Drosophila melanogaster: one gene and its partners. The protein of the gene in region 3 interacts with the protein of the main gene of each other region in a pairwise test. Each region holds a gene or a part of one and is shown on either strand. Other genes may lie near its edges.

Region 1 (4,871 bases), on a different chromosome or scaffold from region 3:
TTATCCACGCCATGGATGCTGCCCGGCCCATTAGAACTGCCTGTGGATTTGTTTAATAAACAATTTCCGCTTTGATTTCTGGCCTTTGGTGAGGGGGTGAGGATTCCCCCAAATCCAAGCTAATTAACCTGCCCGCTTCCGATGCGGGCAATTATGCCAGCTTGGGTGTGAAGAGTCGCCCGCTGCCACTGCGAGTGGGGGTCACCAGTGGGGTCATCATTGGCATTCCCCTGGTAGCCCCAGGCTCAGGTGTTTTTGCCGCCTCTGAATAGGAAGTGGCTGCTTCCTTTTGTCGGCAGCAGTGCAACTCGTTCTTTGCGCATTTTTCGCGTGCGCTGGGCTAAATTAGCCAGCAATTTGCACCGGCTTCCCTCGAGTTCATTGATTCTGGTCCACCACTGATCGATCCACTCGAATGCAATTGCCTTTGTTTGGTATTTTTCCCTTTAAGCAAAAGCCGACGAATGCGGAGTCGAGCGAAGAACTACATTCGATGTCATCTGCCCAAGTGGGCAGATTCCTTGGCTGCTTTAACTTAAGATGAAAATGTTGTTCGGGCATCAGACCAGAAGCTGTGAACTTCTCCATGTCTGATATACTTAGCTAATAAAATCTGTCAGTTAAGTACGGTAGGATATGGTTGATCACTAGGAAAAGTCAATTAATGCATCACTGATATCTGGAAAGGGTCAAAAAGGTATGGTACAGGAACTGCTGGCTGTGCCAGCTTCCACCGGAAAATATTTGCTTCCGTTCTTTGCCGTGTCCATTCTGTGGGATGGAAAATAAATTACAATTAAATGCAACAAACATGCAACACTCACTTACTCACTGCGGAACGCGGCGGATGTTTATTATCAAGTGGATACAACGGCGACAACCTCATTAGCTTCTGCCCCTGGTCGGTGCCCATCGATGCCATGGCTCCCATTCCCTATCCCATTCCCTCCATCCATCGCCCTTTTCCAGATCGAGCGACAGTAAAAGTGGCCCGGGCATGCTAATCCGGAAGTAGGTCATTTTCCGAACGCAAATGAAAGCGTGAGCTCAGCTCGAACTCGGGCTGAAAAGCGATGAAAATCGTAGTGATGAATACATATGTGTGCCTGCTGCGAGTGGGATGCGCTGCCATGGGAAATTGAAACCGAAAACTTCAGTGGAAAGCGAGCTTCAAATGGGAGTCGCATGCACAGAGCCACTGTCATTATAATACGGCAATCAAAATGAGAAATAAGACATAAGATTTGTATGCGAATGGTGTGACTGGGAATAAAGAAGGCTATCTTAAAGTTACTATGAAAATCATCTAACGACGTTAATAAACATAATCATAACTTCATATAGTAAGATGTGCATTTGAGATTTCAAGCCATACTAGTTAAATTTTCTTTGTTCTATTTACTTTTTGAATATAAATTATAGTATGGTTAAGTTTTAAATAGTTTATTTCTCATCAAGATTAGCTGATGAATTTTTCCACTTAATTGAATTTTAAATGCGCAGTTATCTAAAATATGTTGGGTTCCGTTCTCCTTCTAAGGTAAATTCCAGTTTGCTGTCCGTATAACACCATTCTTGACCAAGATTACAAGGCATTTACAAGGCATAAAGACTTTTGACCATTTGTGGAAAGCAGCGGCCATTTAAGCAGCGTTCCGTAGACACCACGCAAAATGCGAGCAACTTGCGCATAAATCGCTATGTTTTAAACAATTAACAGTGGCCACCTACCCAAAATGGGGGATCCAAAACGATTCACAGAGTGACCGATCGCCCACGAGATGGCCATGCCTCAGTTTTCTGAATCCCACGTTCAATTTCGCTTTCAATTTGACGCGTGCGCAGGCGCAACCTTTCAATTTACATATGTGGACATGTGGGCGAAATTTTAGTATAATTTTTTCTCATTCTAGCCGCTCTGCGGATGCTGAAAGTTTTTTCAATTGCAGTTTCACTTTTAGCTAAAGACAATGGTTCGTTTTTATGATCTGCTTTTTTTTTATTTTTCTTTAATTTGGCTTGGGAATTGCGTTTGCATCGGTAACACATATATCGTGACTTCAATGATCTCAGATATACATTGCCGGATTTTATGTAATTAATTATGTACAGCATCTATAACTACATAGCAACTATTTTAAGGTATAGTAAAAACATATTTTGTATAATTAACACGGTATTTTCCTTAATCGACCAGCAATTCAAAGAAACCAACACTTTTCTCGCTTTTATATTGTTGAAAACCATGTTAAATTGATTGTCTAAGAATTTGATATTTACATATATTATTTCAATAAATACTCGACTATGGCATTTTTCTTTGTATATTTGTTTGAACTGCGTAAGTCTTAAAATTGTTAGCCTCGACTAAAGCACCCGATGCCAAGAAGAATCTTATAAAAAAAACCGAAGATATCCGTCCGGAGGCCAGAAAAATGTATATATCTTAATATCTAGAATACTACAGGACTAAAATGTATATTCAACGAATATTTATATATTTTGATGATGTTTTTTTTTTTTTTGAAAATTGCAATACTACAAGATCATATTTATAAATATCAAGCAGAACGAAACAAGAGCCGTTGCAAAAGCGCTTATGTAACATGAAATTCGTATATATAAGGAATGCAATAATACCTTACTTCAGCTGAAGCCACTTCTTCGAAATGAACCAGATTTTATTATGCTCTCCAATTTTACGTAAGTTGACTTATGCATTTTTGAGCACATTTAAGAACGAGTATCTTTTCGTTTAGTGCTGCTTTTTACAGTGGCAAGCTGCGATAGTGAGCAACAACTCGATTCAGCTATGCACCTGAAAAGTGATTCTACGAAAAGTGCATCTCTGAAAAATGTTGCTCCCAAGAATGATGAGACACAGGCCAAAATAGCCAAAGATGATGTAGCTCTGAAAGATGCGAAAAAGGGCGATTATATAATGGATATCGATATTTCTGATTTGCCGCTGGATGATTATCCAATCAATAGGTCCAAATCACTAAAAAGCTCTTCCATTGACTTGAATAATATTCCTTTCAATAAAGGACTAGATGATTTCCCGGCAAAAGAAAAAAATCAAGGATCCAATCAAAGTGCGCTCAAGGCCCTGCAACAGAGGTTACTAACGGAGCAGAACAATAGTTTACTTCTCCGGAACCATTCCATATACTTGATGAAAGAAATAGAGGCCAGAAAAACGGATATTATCAAAGTACGACAGTTAAACCTCGATTTAGAGCTCGAGCTAAATACTGTGAACCGCAGACTTTTGGAATTGAATGGGCAACTGCAAAACACTCGAAAGTCCACAAAGCCGTGTAAGAAACGTTCTAGTAAGGATAGCGCCCCACCTGCCGCCAATCAGTTTCAGGAAGCCAACGTCAGGAACACTTACCGTAACAAATATCTAACACTTCTGAAAGAACTTAGTCAGAAGATCAATAACGAAATCGCGAAAGTCGCTACCGATGTACCCACGGAGACAAATCCTTCCCAAGGGAATCTACCAACACTTTAATAGTTAAAATCATATGGTTTCCCATCATTTAAGAACAGAAACAATAGTATTGAGTCATTGCAAGACCTTCTAATTGCGCACTTACTTATTTTTCTGATCTTGTTAGCCGTAATAAATGCGATTCATAACGCTTAGGCCAAGTGCTGGTTGGATTCTTTACAGTCTAGAGAATACGTTTCCACAATGAACTACTTCGCGGTGATCTGCATTTTCTGTAAGTTCGTAAGGATCTTCGAGGTTCTTAGAGTTTGCCTAATTTAGTTTTCATCACTTAGCCTGCATTTGCCTTTGGCAATTTAGCGATGCTGCCCCCTTTATAAGCGTTCAGTCTAGTTCACAATCAAGATCCCAGAAAGTGATGAATGGCATGTTGAGAACCCTATACGACTACAGTGTTCAGGATAGTGTGAACGATGCGACTGGGCATTTGATACAAACTCACAAAGCAGACTTCAACTCGGATGTCATGAGTCCTGATGAAATAGAGAGTGTGCGCCAGCAACTGAACATGGCATAATTTTGGATTCACCAGCAAATATCTTAAACAGCGATTATTGCATATGCTTTTTAACCGCAGTTACTTCAAGCAAAATATTATGTATCTATGCAATATGTAATATATCATTTAAAAGATATAATAACCCAAATAAAGTATTTACCATATTATAATGGACATGGACTCTAAGAAGCTTTTGAAATAAGAGTTCCGATATTTTCCAAAGCTGTGATAAAATTGTATTTGAAATATAGAGTGGGGTATATGGTATTTGTAGTTATACATATAAAATGTTATACATATAAATGCAGACGAAAGGACATAAATATAAAATACATTTTAGACATAAACTCGACCTGTGGGTCATAAAGATTCGTCTAGCTCAACTTTCACAAATATGGGATCAGTAATATGCGATACTGTGGCGCCTCTTTAACATAGTTTATACATTTGGTCAGGTTCTTTTGGTTTTTGGCCGACATTTACCTGCTTTTAGCTACCTGTGGTCCCCGTGGTGATTTGTTCGTCTGCCCTAATTTCCACGACAAAAGTAGAGTGGAATTTCGGCCTTAACTGGAATTCTGTAAAGGTAAAAGTGTTGTGTTACGTGCTATTAAAATGACCTTTCTCTGCTTGAGAGCGTCTCGTTTGACAAATTTATGAATACTTTCGGTCGGAGGATCGAACCCTTTTCTCGCTGCTTGAGTTCCAAATGCTTCCCAAATTTATGATATTTAGACGAAAATTTCTTCTCTTTTATTGCTGGTATTTGAATATCATGTGCTTCGAATGAACTTTTAATTTGGGTTATGTTCAAAATCTATCTCTTCCATGTATACTCTAAAGTTTGTGGGC
Region 2 (5,586 bases), on a different chromosome or scaffold from region 3:
CAGTGAGTATGCAAAGTATTTCTTCGGTGCGGATGTGGGCAACAGCTTCCGCACGCTGGGCTTCATTGAGAGTAGTCAGATCACCGGCGGTACACTGGGCAGTGCACTAACACGGGGCAAGAAGCGGGCCCAGAATCGGTTTGCCACCATCAGCGGTGGTTCGCTTGGCGGCGTCGGTGGTGCCGTTTCCCGCTCCCAATCGATGACGGTCAGTCGGCGGCCCAAGAAGCAGCCGGGTCAGCCGATCTCGGGGATCTTTAAGCCCGCCACCGAGGACGGTGATCTGTTGCCATGCGAAATGGAGGGGCAGCCGGTGCCATTCCGTGGCGCCAGCACGCGTCGCAAGGAGAGCTTCCTGCGCAAGACCTTTCGAGCCACCGCAGGTGGCAGCCGTCGGCCGTTGGCCAAAGATGTATTTACTAACCCACCGGAGCACGGTTAATTGCTATCCTAAAATCTATCCTAAACATTGCGCTAATGTATACTACTTATATGTATGTCAAAACAATGTTACAACAATTGGTTGGGGCTGTACTATATTATACATTCTATATACTTTTAAACTGTAACTGATCCGGTATCGGTATCTACATATCTATGAAATTTTGTATAATCACTAAACTTTACTAGCTTTTAAGTACCAAAGCATGGCCTTAATATAGTATATATTTTTTTACCAAGGTGTATTAACTTAATGTAAGCAATCACACTTTTGTGTACATAAATATTTATAAATAATCGCATGTGTATCGCAAGGAAAAACACAATAAACTACTGGCCCCTTAAAAACAAAAGCATTAATTTATAAATAAGTACTATAATCCTAAAAAAAATTAACTAAGTTTACAAAGAGAATGCGCTTTGGGAGATAATAATAATTTACCCTCGTTTGCAAACATCCATCAAACTTACTGAAATGTAGAGCATACAAACCCCAAATCGACTCAGTAATTAATGTCAGTAAATGGGATCCAATCTATCTATCTATCTATCTATTTTCGATTTTGCTGCATGTAGAGATACAAGCGATGCGATTCAGCGGCGGACTCAACGGAACGTGGAGGCAGGTTGAGATCTAACGATCTTGAGTATTTCAAAACCCTTAGTGTTGATTTTGTGCGATGTTCAATTTATTTTGCTAGCTTTACGTTGAATTAGCCACATTAGCTTTTATATATTTAGCCTGTATATATATATATATATTATTTGCTTTTTGTACTTTGGTAGCTTTAAAACTTGTATTTTAGTTATATTTTGCTAGCATTTGAGTTGCATTTCCCGTTTGCGTTGCCAATTTGGTAAGTTTTCTTTGTATTATTTTCAATGTTTATGCTCATCGCTCGCATTATTTTATAATTGTTTCCAAAAAGTCCGCTAACCAAAGGCAATATTTTTCAGTTTATGCACGTTCATTTGAATATTGATTAATATAAAAAAATGAATAAATATTAATGAAATTTCTTTGTTTTGTCCACTTTGCAGAAATCAAGGCTCGCAAAAAGCATGCAAGTAAGTCACTCTTAAATGCAAATGAAATTTTATGACTAAGTATAATATTTTTCCATTGCAGTCGAAAAAGATTTGGGCTTCCTACGGATTGGTTCTCTGAATGTCCGGGTAAAGAAGACCACCGAGGCGTTCAGCAACTTCTTGGGAGTGGGCAATGGCAGTGGGGTGGCGCCGACGGGCTATGGCAATGGCGGGTCGGCGGTAGCAGCAAATCGCCATCACCCTCGATCTCACCGAGCCCCTCATCAGCGTCATCATCACCACGTTGGTACGACACGGAGTCGCCATCCGAATCAGAGGGCAGCGATGAGCACACCCTATGCCACGAACGGCGGCCTTCCGTCGAGGGCGAGTGTGCCCAATAGCCGGAACATCTACGATGGGGTGCACAAGTCGTGGGGATCGGCGGACAATATACCGCATCGATCGGAGGACCTAATGCCGCCGCCCAAGGCGGTGGAGTATATCAGCAAGCGGAATAAGTCCTCGAAGCGTTCGTCCTATGCATCGAATACCACCGATTCGCCGCGTGATTCCATCTGCTCCTCGAACTCCAGCTCGAATCTGAATGGTGGCTATAGCAGCATGCCTACGACCCCGAATCAGTTGCGTGCTCCCAAGGGGATCGCCGCATCCTTCGCCGTGGACTCCGACTCGGACTCCGCCTGCGGATTCGACTCAACCTGGTCGGTCAATTGTCGCGGTTCCTCGAGCAGCAATCCTTCGCAATCCTAATTACCTGAATATTGTTGTTAGCACAGTCTACATACCACCATACAACTTTTAACATTGACCATGGAATCGTGAAAGTATTTGTTTTTCAATTAACTAATATATATACTTTAAGCATTGACCATTATTTAGACGTTACATTTTCTTGTGTTTGTATCTAAAAGTTTGTATCTTAAAAGTATCCAACATTTGTTATTTCCTATTTTGTGCCCTTTTCTAGGGACATCCAATATAATGTTTCATTTAATATGTGTATTTTTTAATCGAAAATAAAGCTTGTATGCTTTTTAATGCATTTATGAATTAATTGTATTGATATTTTATTTGTTATTACTCATAATACAAATTTACCCGAATTTATTTTTAAATATCCAAATCTCAATATTTTGAGCAAAAAATTCAGAATTTAAATTTTTTCGTTGCGCGCGCACTTTTCAAAAATAACCGTTAAGACATTTCTCATAATACCGTCGAAAATACTGAAAATATGGTAAACTAGAAGACAGCTCTTCCTCTTCTCTTATTTATAAACGCTACACGTGCGGCAAAAAAAGTTTGTTGATTTAAATTTTTGAGCTGAAATAAAACACTTGACATGGGCAAAAAGGACAAAAACAAGAAGAAGGGCAAAGGGGCCGAGAAAACGGCCATGAAAACGGACAAAAAGCAGGCGGCGCGGCAGAAGAAAATGCTGGAAAAACTGGGAGAAGTACGAACAAAAAAATGCAATAACCATAACATTATGTTTACTAAACGAATAATAAACTTCACAGGCAAATATAGCTGATATCATCCAATTGCTGGAGGCCAAGGAGGGCAAGATTGAAGCCATCAGTGAATCCGTTTGCCCGCCACCAACTCCACGATCCAATTTCACCTTAGTTTGCCATCCGGAAAAGGAGGAGCTCATCATGTTTGGCGGCGAACTGTACACTGGCACAAAAACCACAGTGTATAACGATTTGTTCTTTTACAACACCAAAACCGTCGAGTGGAGGCAGCTGAAATCGCCATCGGGACCCACGCCCAGAAGTGGACACCAAATGGTGGCTGTGGCCAGCAATGGAGGAGAACTCTGGGTAAGTTATCAGCTAAAGAGATCTCCGTGAAAAGTTAATTACCATATGCACTCTACAGATGTTTGGTGGCGAGCATGCCAGTCCCTCACAGCTGCAGTTCCATCACTACAAGGATCTCTGGAAGTTCGCACTGAAATCCCGCAAATGGGAGAGGATAGCTGCGCCCAATGGACCAAGTCCTCGGAGCGGACATCGAATGACCGTCTCCAAGAAACGCCTGTTCATCTTCGGTGGCTTTCACGACAACAATCAGTCGTATCATTACTTCAATGATGTTCACATCTTCTCTTTGGAATCCTATCAGTGGCTTAAAGCGGAGATAGGAGGTGCAATTGTGCCATCTCCACGTTCCGGTTGCTGTATTGCAGCTTCTCCGGAGGGAAAGATCTACGTGTGGGGCGGTTACTCGAGGGCCGCCATGAAGAAGGAGGCGGACAGAGGAGTAACACACACGGATATGTTTGTCTTGAGTCAAGATAGTAAGATTTAGAATCTCTGATTTATATTACTTATATTAATATCTCCTGTTTCCGTTCAGAAAACGCCGGCGATGCAGACAACAAGTACAAGTGGGCACCCGTGAAACCAGGTGGATATAAGCCCAAGCCGCGTAGCAGCGTCGGCTGCACTGTGGCTGCGAATGGCAAGGCCTATACCTTCGGTGGCGTTATGGACGTCGATGAGGACGACGAAGATGTGCACGGACAGTTCGGCGATGATCTCCTGGCCTTCGATTTGACCTCCCAAACATGGAGATTGCAGGAGATCCAAACTAAAAGCAGCAGCGCTGAGAAAAAGGATTCGGAGGAGAGCAAAGATGTGGAGATGTCGGCTGTTGATAAGCCAGTGACCACCACCACGGATGGCATTTTCACGGTCACCGTTGGCGGTCCCAGTACCAGTACCACGCCATTCGTGTCCAAAATACCCAGCCTATTCGCCAAACCCAAGCCGACGAATGTGCCATCTCCGCGCATGAATCCCGGCATGTGCGTGTGCAAGGGAACGCTGTATATTTTCGGTGGCATCTTCGAAGAGGACGACAAGCAGTTGACCTACAACGATTTCTACGCCCTGGACTTGCACAAACTGGAATGGAAGGTGCTAATCCCCAATAGCTTGAAGGGCCACGAATGGGAGGATAGCGACAGCAGCAGCTCCGACGAGGAGTGCAGTGGCAGCGAGGAGGATATCTCCAGCAGCAGCTCGGACATGGACACGGATTAAGAATTTCCAGTGACTATATATTAAATTTGGTTAACAATTGTACACATGTATAAAAATGGAATATTTTCAACTGCTGAGTAAGCTCGAAATTCTCACAGCTCCAGAATCTCGGTGAGAATGCGTTGCGTATCCTTGGGAGTATATACCCTATGGCTGATGGTTCGAGGATCGCTATAGATCTCATAGTCATTGCCGCCCGGCTCCGTTTTATCGCCAAAGAAGTGGATTTCCTTGAACTTGTAGTGCGCTTCGATGTGTCGCAGGCAGTAGGTCTTGTCCCAACCATGCGGGAAGACATCGAAGCTGATCTGACCACCAATCGAGTACGTGAGATCCACATCGGCAAACTCCTGCTTCAGGTCCTTGATCATTTTCTCGCGCACCTTGTGCTCAATGTCGTACTCGGCGAACATGTTGCGCTCCTCCCGAGTGCACTGCCTGCCAATGGGACAAACGTTCATCATGCCATTCCGGAATTCGATAAAGGTGCCCCTCTTGATGGGCACATCCAGTTCGGACAGATAGCGCAGCACAAAGTTGATGAAACGCTTCACCGTCTCCTCGCCCAAATGCATGATGATATTCTGCTTTCCCACCTCCTTTCCGCCCTCAATCTGCACCAGCCCATTTTCCGGGAATATGAAGTCGAACTCGTTGAGTATCTTCCTGCCATTCAGCTGCTCGAACATCTTCTCCAGATCCGAGCCTCCGACGATTCCGATGGTCGCCCTCGGCTTAACCCGCGAGTAGAAGAACTCCTCGAACTCCGGAGTGACCACGGATCTGGGCATCGTTAACGTGCCGTCCACGTCGAAGAGCAGCAGGATTTCATCACGCTTCAATGCGGCGGTGGTCATTTTGCATTTAAATTTTGTGGTAAATCAGCAGGTGTTTAATATCCAGATATTTATGTCCACGTATGATTCGAGATAAAGAATTTTACAAGCGGCAACGCAGTGGTGAGAAATCCCCTAAAGCTTTCGATGCACCGGCAAGGGGAACCAGTTCCGGAATCCAAGTGCAATCAAAATTAATGTTT
Region 3 (7,086 bases):
GGATGTGCGTTGAGGTGTTTTTTTTTTCGATCCTGCGGCGTTTCGCCTGGAAAGGCGAGTCGTTCGGAAAATGAAAGAGAAAAGTAGTCCCCTTGCATATTATTTGTGTAAAGTAAACGATAATTCCATTATAAATAAAAAGATACAAACAATTGCATCTTGTTCTCTAAGTAGTTGGATGATAGCGATTGATCGAAGATCGGGTGGCAAAAGGGAAAGAAACAATCCACTTCACAGACAAAATACACGAAAAACAATACACACACCGCAAATGAATCGAACGAAATTTCGCTCAGGTCTTTTCGTCATTTTGCATTAAACTTAATGTTTAACGTCTTGTTAGCTAAAGATGTATAGCAGAAGAGGAAGTCGGAAGTTAGATGAGACAAGCAGATGTAATTGCATTTAATCGGTAGTTTTAATTGATTACTATACGTACTATTTAAAGAGAAAACCAACAAATTAAAATAAATACATTTTTTAAATGCGTTGAAAACCGAAATCTACTTATTTCCTGGTAGAAAATTAACGAAGCATATGGTTTGTTTTGGTACTTTAAACGTTTTATTTTAAATATCGTTATGAATTCATGCTACACTCTAAATGGATTTCCTTCGTTTCCGCTAGTTATGCAAAAATCAATGCAATGATTTCTGTGGGATTTAGTGTATAATATTATATTTATGTATATATTTAACTATTTATCGTATGGGATTTCGCATACAAATACCATTAAAGTTCTTGTTTTCACTTTGGGATTATCAAATGTTAACAGATCTAAAATATAAACAACCCTTTTAAACAATATCTTTTCAATGCAATGCTGCTGTGATGATTCGGATTCGTGTTGGGGGCTGCTCAGATGAAACACGTAGAGATTAAAGCTTAGATTTAGATACACGCTCCTTAAGTGCCAGATCTTACAAATTAAGTATGGGGGCCTTTGTTTTTTTCGTTTTCCACGGTGTACAAAACAGAACGATGTTGCGCTTATTTATTACGGAGCTTAGTCTACAAAATTATGGCAAACAAAAAACAAAGTCTCTCTCAGAGCCTTTCCACAAAAGAAACACAAAAGTCAAGAAACGAAAGAAGCTGTTCCAAAAAGGGTGTCCATAGCAAGGTGGTTGTCTTGGCACCCAGCGCAGATCGCTAACCATCATAGTGGGCTCTACATTGCGTCTAGTTGCGATTCAGCCAGAATATTGTCTTGAGAACGAAGTAGGCCAGGCCCAGACAGTAGACGATCTTCTCCCGCTGCGTGCGCTGTTCATTGTTGATCTCGATGTTCAGCACCCGGCGATTCAGCTTGGCCAGCTGGCGTCTCAGATACAGGATCTCCTCGTGGGGCGTCAGCTCGCCCATGGGCGTGCCCTCTCGGTGCGCCAGCATTGAGGCATCCAGGTTGTTGTGCTGCTGTTGATTCAGCTGCGAGCGCTTGCTGGCACTGCCTGTGGTCAACTGGAACACATAAGGTAGTCAAAGATAAGTTGCGCCAAATAGGATTTAGATGTGTGTACCATGTTAAGTGTTTGCTTTGTGAAAGTTTTCTGTTATCAATGTGAAGCAAGAGTCATTTTTCAGAGCTCCCCCAAATATTTCCGGTGTCAATATAAGCAATAAACATTCGAAAAAAAAAAAAACGCCCAACTCGAAATTTTCTGTATAGCCAACCAATTTCTTTCGATCCCAGCAATGACAACCAGTCCCAACGTAGCAGAAGTGGATGATGGCGAGCTGCCGAAACTGGAGGCGATAATCAGCGCGCTGAAATGCGAGCAGACGGGTCACATTATGGAGGCGATACTACTCTACGAGGAGAGCATCTTCAAATTGTCCCAGATGGCCGATGCGGAGCCGAGTCGCCGCCAGCTGTGTGGGAAGTATTTGAAGATGTACGAGGCGCGGGCCAAACAGCTGAGGGATCAGGTCAAGGGTCACTTGCACACCAGCCGTATGCTGGATCACATCACCATCGAGCAGGGTGCCAGGGGCAGAAGCTACCAGCGGCTGTTTGGTCCGTATTTGGACGATGCGGTTCGGGAGGCCCATCTCAACGAGCCACACCTCACGGAGCCACCACACTTTAGGAATTTGCTTAACTTTTTCGAGGTGCTGGTCAAGAACTGTCGCTATCTAAAGTATATTCGCCTCACTACGCGCCCAGATGCGACGGCGCCCAAGAATCAGTTGCAGATGCTGCAGCAAATGCAGAGCGATCTGGCCGGTGGCAACATCCAGATGAATTTCCAGATGGACGACAGTTTGCACGATCGCAAGATCGTTCTTAGCTCGGGAGTGGTCATTAAGATTGGCCGTGGCCTTCACTACTTCGAGCCCATGGAGGGTTCGTACAGTTTGGGTCTGTGCGATTTCGATTTTCGCAAGTGCCTGGCCACCGAGGTGGACATCTGGAAGTGTCGTCCTTTTGCGAGGCGCCTTAAGGATACACAGGAGGGCGAGGATCGACCGGAGGCACACGGCTACTCCAGCGATTAACAAAAAGTGAGAGTGTGTTTCCACACAGTCGATGGAAATTGGGTCAGCCGTCTTATCAAAGCCGTATTAGGAATTCAATAAAAACCAGCAGGCATGGTAATCTCTTTGCAAACTGAATGGGTGGCAAGCGCAGTGTGATCGCTATCTATCTATTATCTATTAACAATTTTGGTTGTTTTATTGCGTCATGTGTGGATCGCTAGGGTCTAGACTTCCATCAAATGAAGTGCTCTTTAACAGAAATCACAGAGTTGCTCATTCTGCCCATCGATTTAATTTACAAGCACTTGCAATTGAATTGAAAAACTAAAGGAAAATTGTTGCTTGTATGGCATATTTTACTCACCTGCGAGTCCGATTCAACGGAATTGGTGTCATTGCCTTGAAATCCCATACGGGCGACTCCATTGGCACGCACATATTGGGTGGCATGGACCTCCTCATCGTCGGCGTCCTCGTCGAGATCATTACCATACAAATGATGACCATTGGCCCGGATGGGCGAGCTCTCCTCGGAGGCCGAGGGAAAGTGTTGATCGGTGAGGGTGATAATGCGCGGTGGCGTCTGGACGCGCACCAATCCGACCGATGGGTTCTTGGGCAGAATGGAGTTCTCCAGCTGGATTTCCCGCGGAGCAGATCGCGTCTCCAGATGCTGATTGTGGCCCAGGACCACAATTCGATCCGGTACATTCATGTCGATCTTGTCGTGATAGTTCCAGGAGCTGATCATCCCGTTCTGGTTGGACAGCAGCAGATCCTCGTTGGAATACTCCCCGGTGGCCTTTATTCTTTTGGGAACCCGCATCTTGTCGTTAATCTCGTGGGCATATTTGGCGTCGCTGTAGAGATCATCGTCCAATCCATTGAACATGGGCGTCGGCGATTGCGGGGTCACCATGGCGATGTCCTGGGGAATCCTTTCAACTGATCCAATGGGCCTCACTTGCTTTTGGTTTTTCGTTGTTTGTCCAATTTTTTTTTTTTAGGTAGAAGGCGGCCGTGAGAGAGACGTTTTCATAACAAATTAATAACCAGAATTTGGCAAGCGCAACATTTTCGTCCGGCTTGTGTGCGTGTGTTTGTTGCGTATTGGGTTTTTCGAATGCTTTCTACTTACATTGCTCGGGAAATGACAGAAAAATGTCCGAGAAATCCGTAATAATTTACAATTTTTCTCCTGCCTTTTGTTATGTGTGTGAGGAGATTGATATAGAATGTGCTAAATAATACCAGGAATGACAGTCACTCTACTTCCACTCTACAGATCCGGCACTCTAGCTCCTTTTTAGCCAAATTAATTATCTACCTCAATATCAGTAGAAAACTAGGTATTTAAGAAGTTATTTCAGTTGTTTTGATTCATTTTATTAATATGTTTTTGTTTCTTGAAAAGTTTGCGGTATTCTTCTGTCTTGAACAAATAATTTACAACTCGATTTAAGCGACAACTTTGGTCTTTATAACCTACATATGTAAATAAAATGAGTACTGTTAGTCTTTGCAAAGATCAAATACTCCAAAAAGTTTTCTATCGATTTATAATACTTGCGCATTGGTATGGTTCGATTAATGTTTAAGGGAATGTAAAAATAAGTACAAGTACTTTTAATACTTTAAAATAATTAACCTTGAATACATTTTAAATTGTCTTAAAGTGCCCACTAAACCACTGTTAACGACACGCTGCGTGCTGTTAGGCGCCGTTCGGCGTTAGCCAACACTGAAAAATACCAACGCAGTGGGCCGCGCTCATTTTACAACAAAATTTTCTCATCCGCCGACAACTAGACGCGCGTCTTTTTTATCAAGTGATTTATGCTGAATTTACGGCGTTTCAATAGCCCCATAAAGTGAAAAACTACAAATAAATCCCATCAGAAGTGAGTTACTAAGTTGTGAAGCGTTAAAAGCTGTTTAAGCTAAGTTAAACATCGTTTAAAAACTGCCAGCCAAGAGGAAGAGAGCAAGAGAGAGAGCGCGTTCTGCCAGCGTCGCTGCCTGCGGAATGTACAGTTGCGGCAGCGACGTCGCTTTTCCTTTCGGCGCGCAAACACAAATAAATACAGAAAATTAGAGAAATAAAGAAAGCAAAGAAACTAGAGAAAACCACAGCGTTACTTAAGTACATTAATAGATTGTGTGTATTTTGTAAACTATAAATAACATGCAGCACTCGCCGAGCACAACGACTGATCATATCCATTTTGCAGCACGTTTTTTCGACCGCAATTCATACACCATGGATCGACGCCTGAGACGCCCGCGTCGCACGGAAGACGTGTCCAGCGGTCCACTTCTGGCCCAGTCCAAGCAGCCCAGCCTCCTGCCGGTGACCCGACGTACGGGCTCCGTGACAGCTGCGGGTGCCACCGCCACCGCCACCGCCACCGCTGGTCCCGCCACCCGGACACGTGCCTCCCCGTCACGCAACAAGGTCGTCGCACCGCCCTCGCCCGATCTTGGCCCGCGCACCCGTCGCTCCAGCCGGCCGAGGTCGTCGGTGGGTCCGCTGACCGGATCGGGATCTGGTTCCTCGCTGCCCATCAAGGCCGCCATCAAGGCACGCACACCCATCCCAGAGGTTTCCGAGGTGAGTTCTCCAGCACAAACCAGTTTTGCTGGCCGGTGGATAAGTGCTTAGCTATATTTGATCAGTATTCCAACCATCAGCAGTTTAGAATTTTGAAATCAATTGCTTTCAATATAAAAGCATAGCGAAATATTAGTTCTATTTAATTTCGATCGTTACAACCAATTAAACTACATAATTAACTGTAACTGTCCTACCTTTATTACAAATTTCGAGCTTCTGTTTCTGTGTGTTTTATGAAGCTGATAAGCAGCACCCACCGCCCTGCTTATCAGCTTAGAGTTCTGCCCTCATATGCTACCATAAGGAAATTCCGGGCTAAGATAACGGATTTGTAATTGTTGAGCTAAACTGCTGATTACAAAAATAGAGGGGAATCTGATAAGTGTACTCAAAACACCTTTAACCCAGTTTTGAGTACCCACATATTTTTGTACAATCATGTCCCTTTGTATATTCTTCTAAGGTTATATAGTTTCTGACTTTGTTTTATCACTTATTACATCTTTACTTATGATCTTAAATTACAGGTATCATCGCCTATTCGTTTGTCAACCAGCAATCTGCCCATGACATTGACCACCAACACATCCAGCGGCGCACCGAACAAAGCATTTAACACAAGCTCCGTGAACAGCGGCAACAGCTTCAGCCGTACCACTACCAGCAGCACCACCACAACCACGGAGCGCATCGAGATCCGTGCCGAGGGAGACGGCGAGGTGGACACGGATTCCATTCGCAAACGCATAACCGAACGACTGCGCAGATCGGTGTCGAAGACAATCTCAAATCTAGCTGGAACACCAGTGACAAACACCGAAGAGGGCAGTCGTTATAGTAGGAGTGTGTCCCGATCCGTCTACGACGATGAGAAGTCCTCCAAGCGTAGTTACTCTACGGGTGAAGAGGATATTGATGAGGAGGATGAATTGGAGGAGGATCAGTTCCGTAGTTTCAATGTAACCCGTAAATCGGCCACACCGGCGGAAATATCCTGCCGTCAGTTGAAGGCTCCTAGAGAATTTGGCGGTTGGCTAGGCGCCTTCCTGTTCCTGCTACTTCTGCCCACCGCCGTCTACTATTTGACATGGAGCTGTACGGCCAGAAACGCCTGTCAGTTTAAGCACCTCAATCTGGGTATACTACTGGATGTTAACTACCTAACGCGCCAGGTGTTCCAGCCACGAGTGGTGGGTGCCTTTGCCGCCTATCAGGTGGTGGTATTTCTGCTGGTGGCACTGCTACCAGGACGAAGGGTTCATCTCACCCGCGAGACCTACAAGTTTAATTGTCTAGCAGTTTCGCTTACGCTTTTGATTGCCAGTGGAGTGGCCGAGTATCTGAAGTATCCAGTGGTCACCTTCGTTCTGCGTCACTATCTGCGTTTCTGCATCTTTGGACTCGTTGGCGCCTTTGTGGCAGCTGCTTGGAGCTACTGGCTGGTGGACACCGCCAAGTACAATGTGCTGCGCCAAACGCTGACCAATGATTATGGCAGGACTGGCAGCTTTGTGGTGGACTTCGCGCTGGGCAGACAGCTCAATCCCAAGTGGCTAGGACGCGTGGATTGGAAACAGTTTCAGTACCGTCTCTCCCTGGTGACCACCTTGATCTATGCCACCTGCTACATCTACCAGACGCTCGTGTGGCCCCAGAAGCCGCAGCTGGGTGAACAGGAGGGCTATCTCTACCAGGCCAAATACTACTGGAACAATGTAAATTATGATCCTGCCACCCTGTTCTCGGCCAGCTGCTTGCTGTTCTACGTATTGGACGCCATTATTTTCGAGCACCACTTGAGCTCATCCTTTGAGCTGCAACACGAAGGCTACGGCTGTTTGCTGCTCCTGCGCTACGCAGCCACTCCATATCTGCTGACGGCGGTCACCAAGTATTTCTACGAGCAGCGTGTACCCATCTCCTGCTGGTATGCTCCGCTGGCAGTGGCTGCTCTGCTGTCTCTGGGATTGCTGGTCAAGCGATTCAGTTGC

Evidence for each region.
Region 1: the proteins of Tango11 (region 3) and Acp26Aa interact in a two-hybrid assay, tested with the Drosophila melanogaster proteins (one large-scale study listed by BioGRID).
Region 2: the proteins of Tango11 (region 3) and CG4069 interact in a two-hybrid assay, tested with the Drosophila melanogaster proteins (one large-scale study listed by BioGRID).

The regions. Positions count from the first base shown.
Region 1 is NT_033779.5:5,891,670-5,896,540, reverse strand, and holds Acp26Aa (accessory gland protein 26Aa), read left to right. Parts: upstream 1-2,644; 5' UTR 2,645-2,669; coding exon 2,670-2,703; intron 2,704-2,759; coding exon 2,760-3,520; 3' UTR 3,521-3,658; downstream 3,659-4,871. Other genes in the region: Acp26Ab (accessory gland protein 26Ab), read left to right, coding at 3,704-3,734, 3,796-4,037. UniProt on the Drosophila melanogaster protein: Male seminal protein which enhances ovulation in female Drosophila by stimulating the release of oocytes by the ovary following mating.
Region 2 is NT_037436.4:12,534,473-12,540,058, reverse strand, and holds CG4069 (uncharacterized protein), read left to right. Parts: upstream 1-2,743; 5' UTR 2,744-2,836; coding exon 2,837-2,950; intron 2,951-3,014; coding exon 3,015-3,320; intron 3,321-3,378; coding exon 3,379-3,799; intron 3,800-3,858; coding exon 3,859-4,547; 3' UTR 4,548-4,633; downstream 4,634-5,586. Other genes in the region: sowah (sosondowah), read left to right, coding at 1-437, 1,483-1,509, 1,571-2,244; Pmm2 (phosphomannomutase type 2), read right to left, coding at 4,640-5,404.
Region 3 is NT_033778.4:21,716,236-21,723,321, forward strand, and holds Tango11 (transport and golgi organization 11), read right to left. Parts: upstream 3,729-7,086; 5' UTR 3,620-3,728; intron 3,611-3,619; exon of another isoform or gene 3,449-3,610; 5' UTR 3,401-3,448; coding exon 2,846-3,400; intron 2,598-2,845; exon of another isoform or gene 2,500-2,597; coding exon of another isoform or gene 1,696-2,499; exon of another isoform or gene 1,524-1,695; coding exon of another isoform or gene 1,521-1,523; intron 1,462-1,520; coding exon 1,183-1,461; 3' UTR 545-1,182; downstream 1-544. Other genes in the region: CG30398 (uncharacterized protein), read left to right, coding at 1,696-2,499; LBR (lamin B receptor), read left to right, coding at 4,667-5,092, 5,623-7,086. UniProt on the Drosophila melanogaster protein: May play a role in mitochondrial and peroxisomal fission.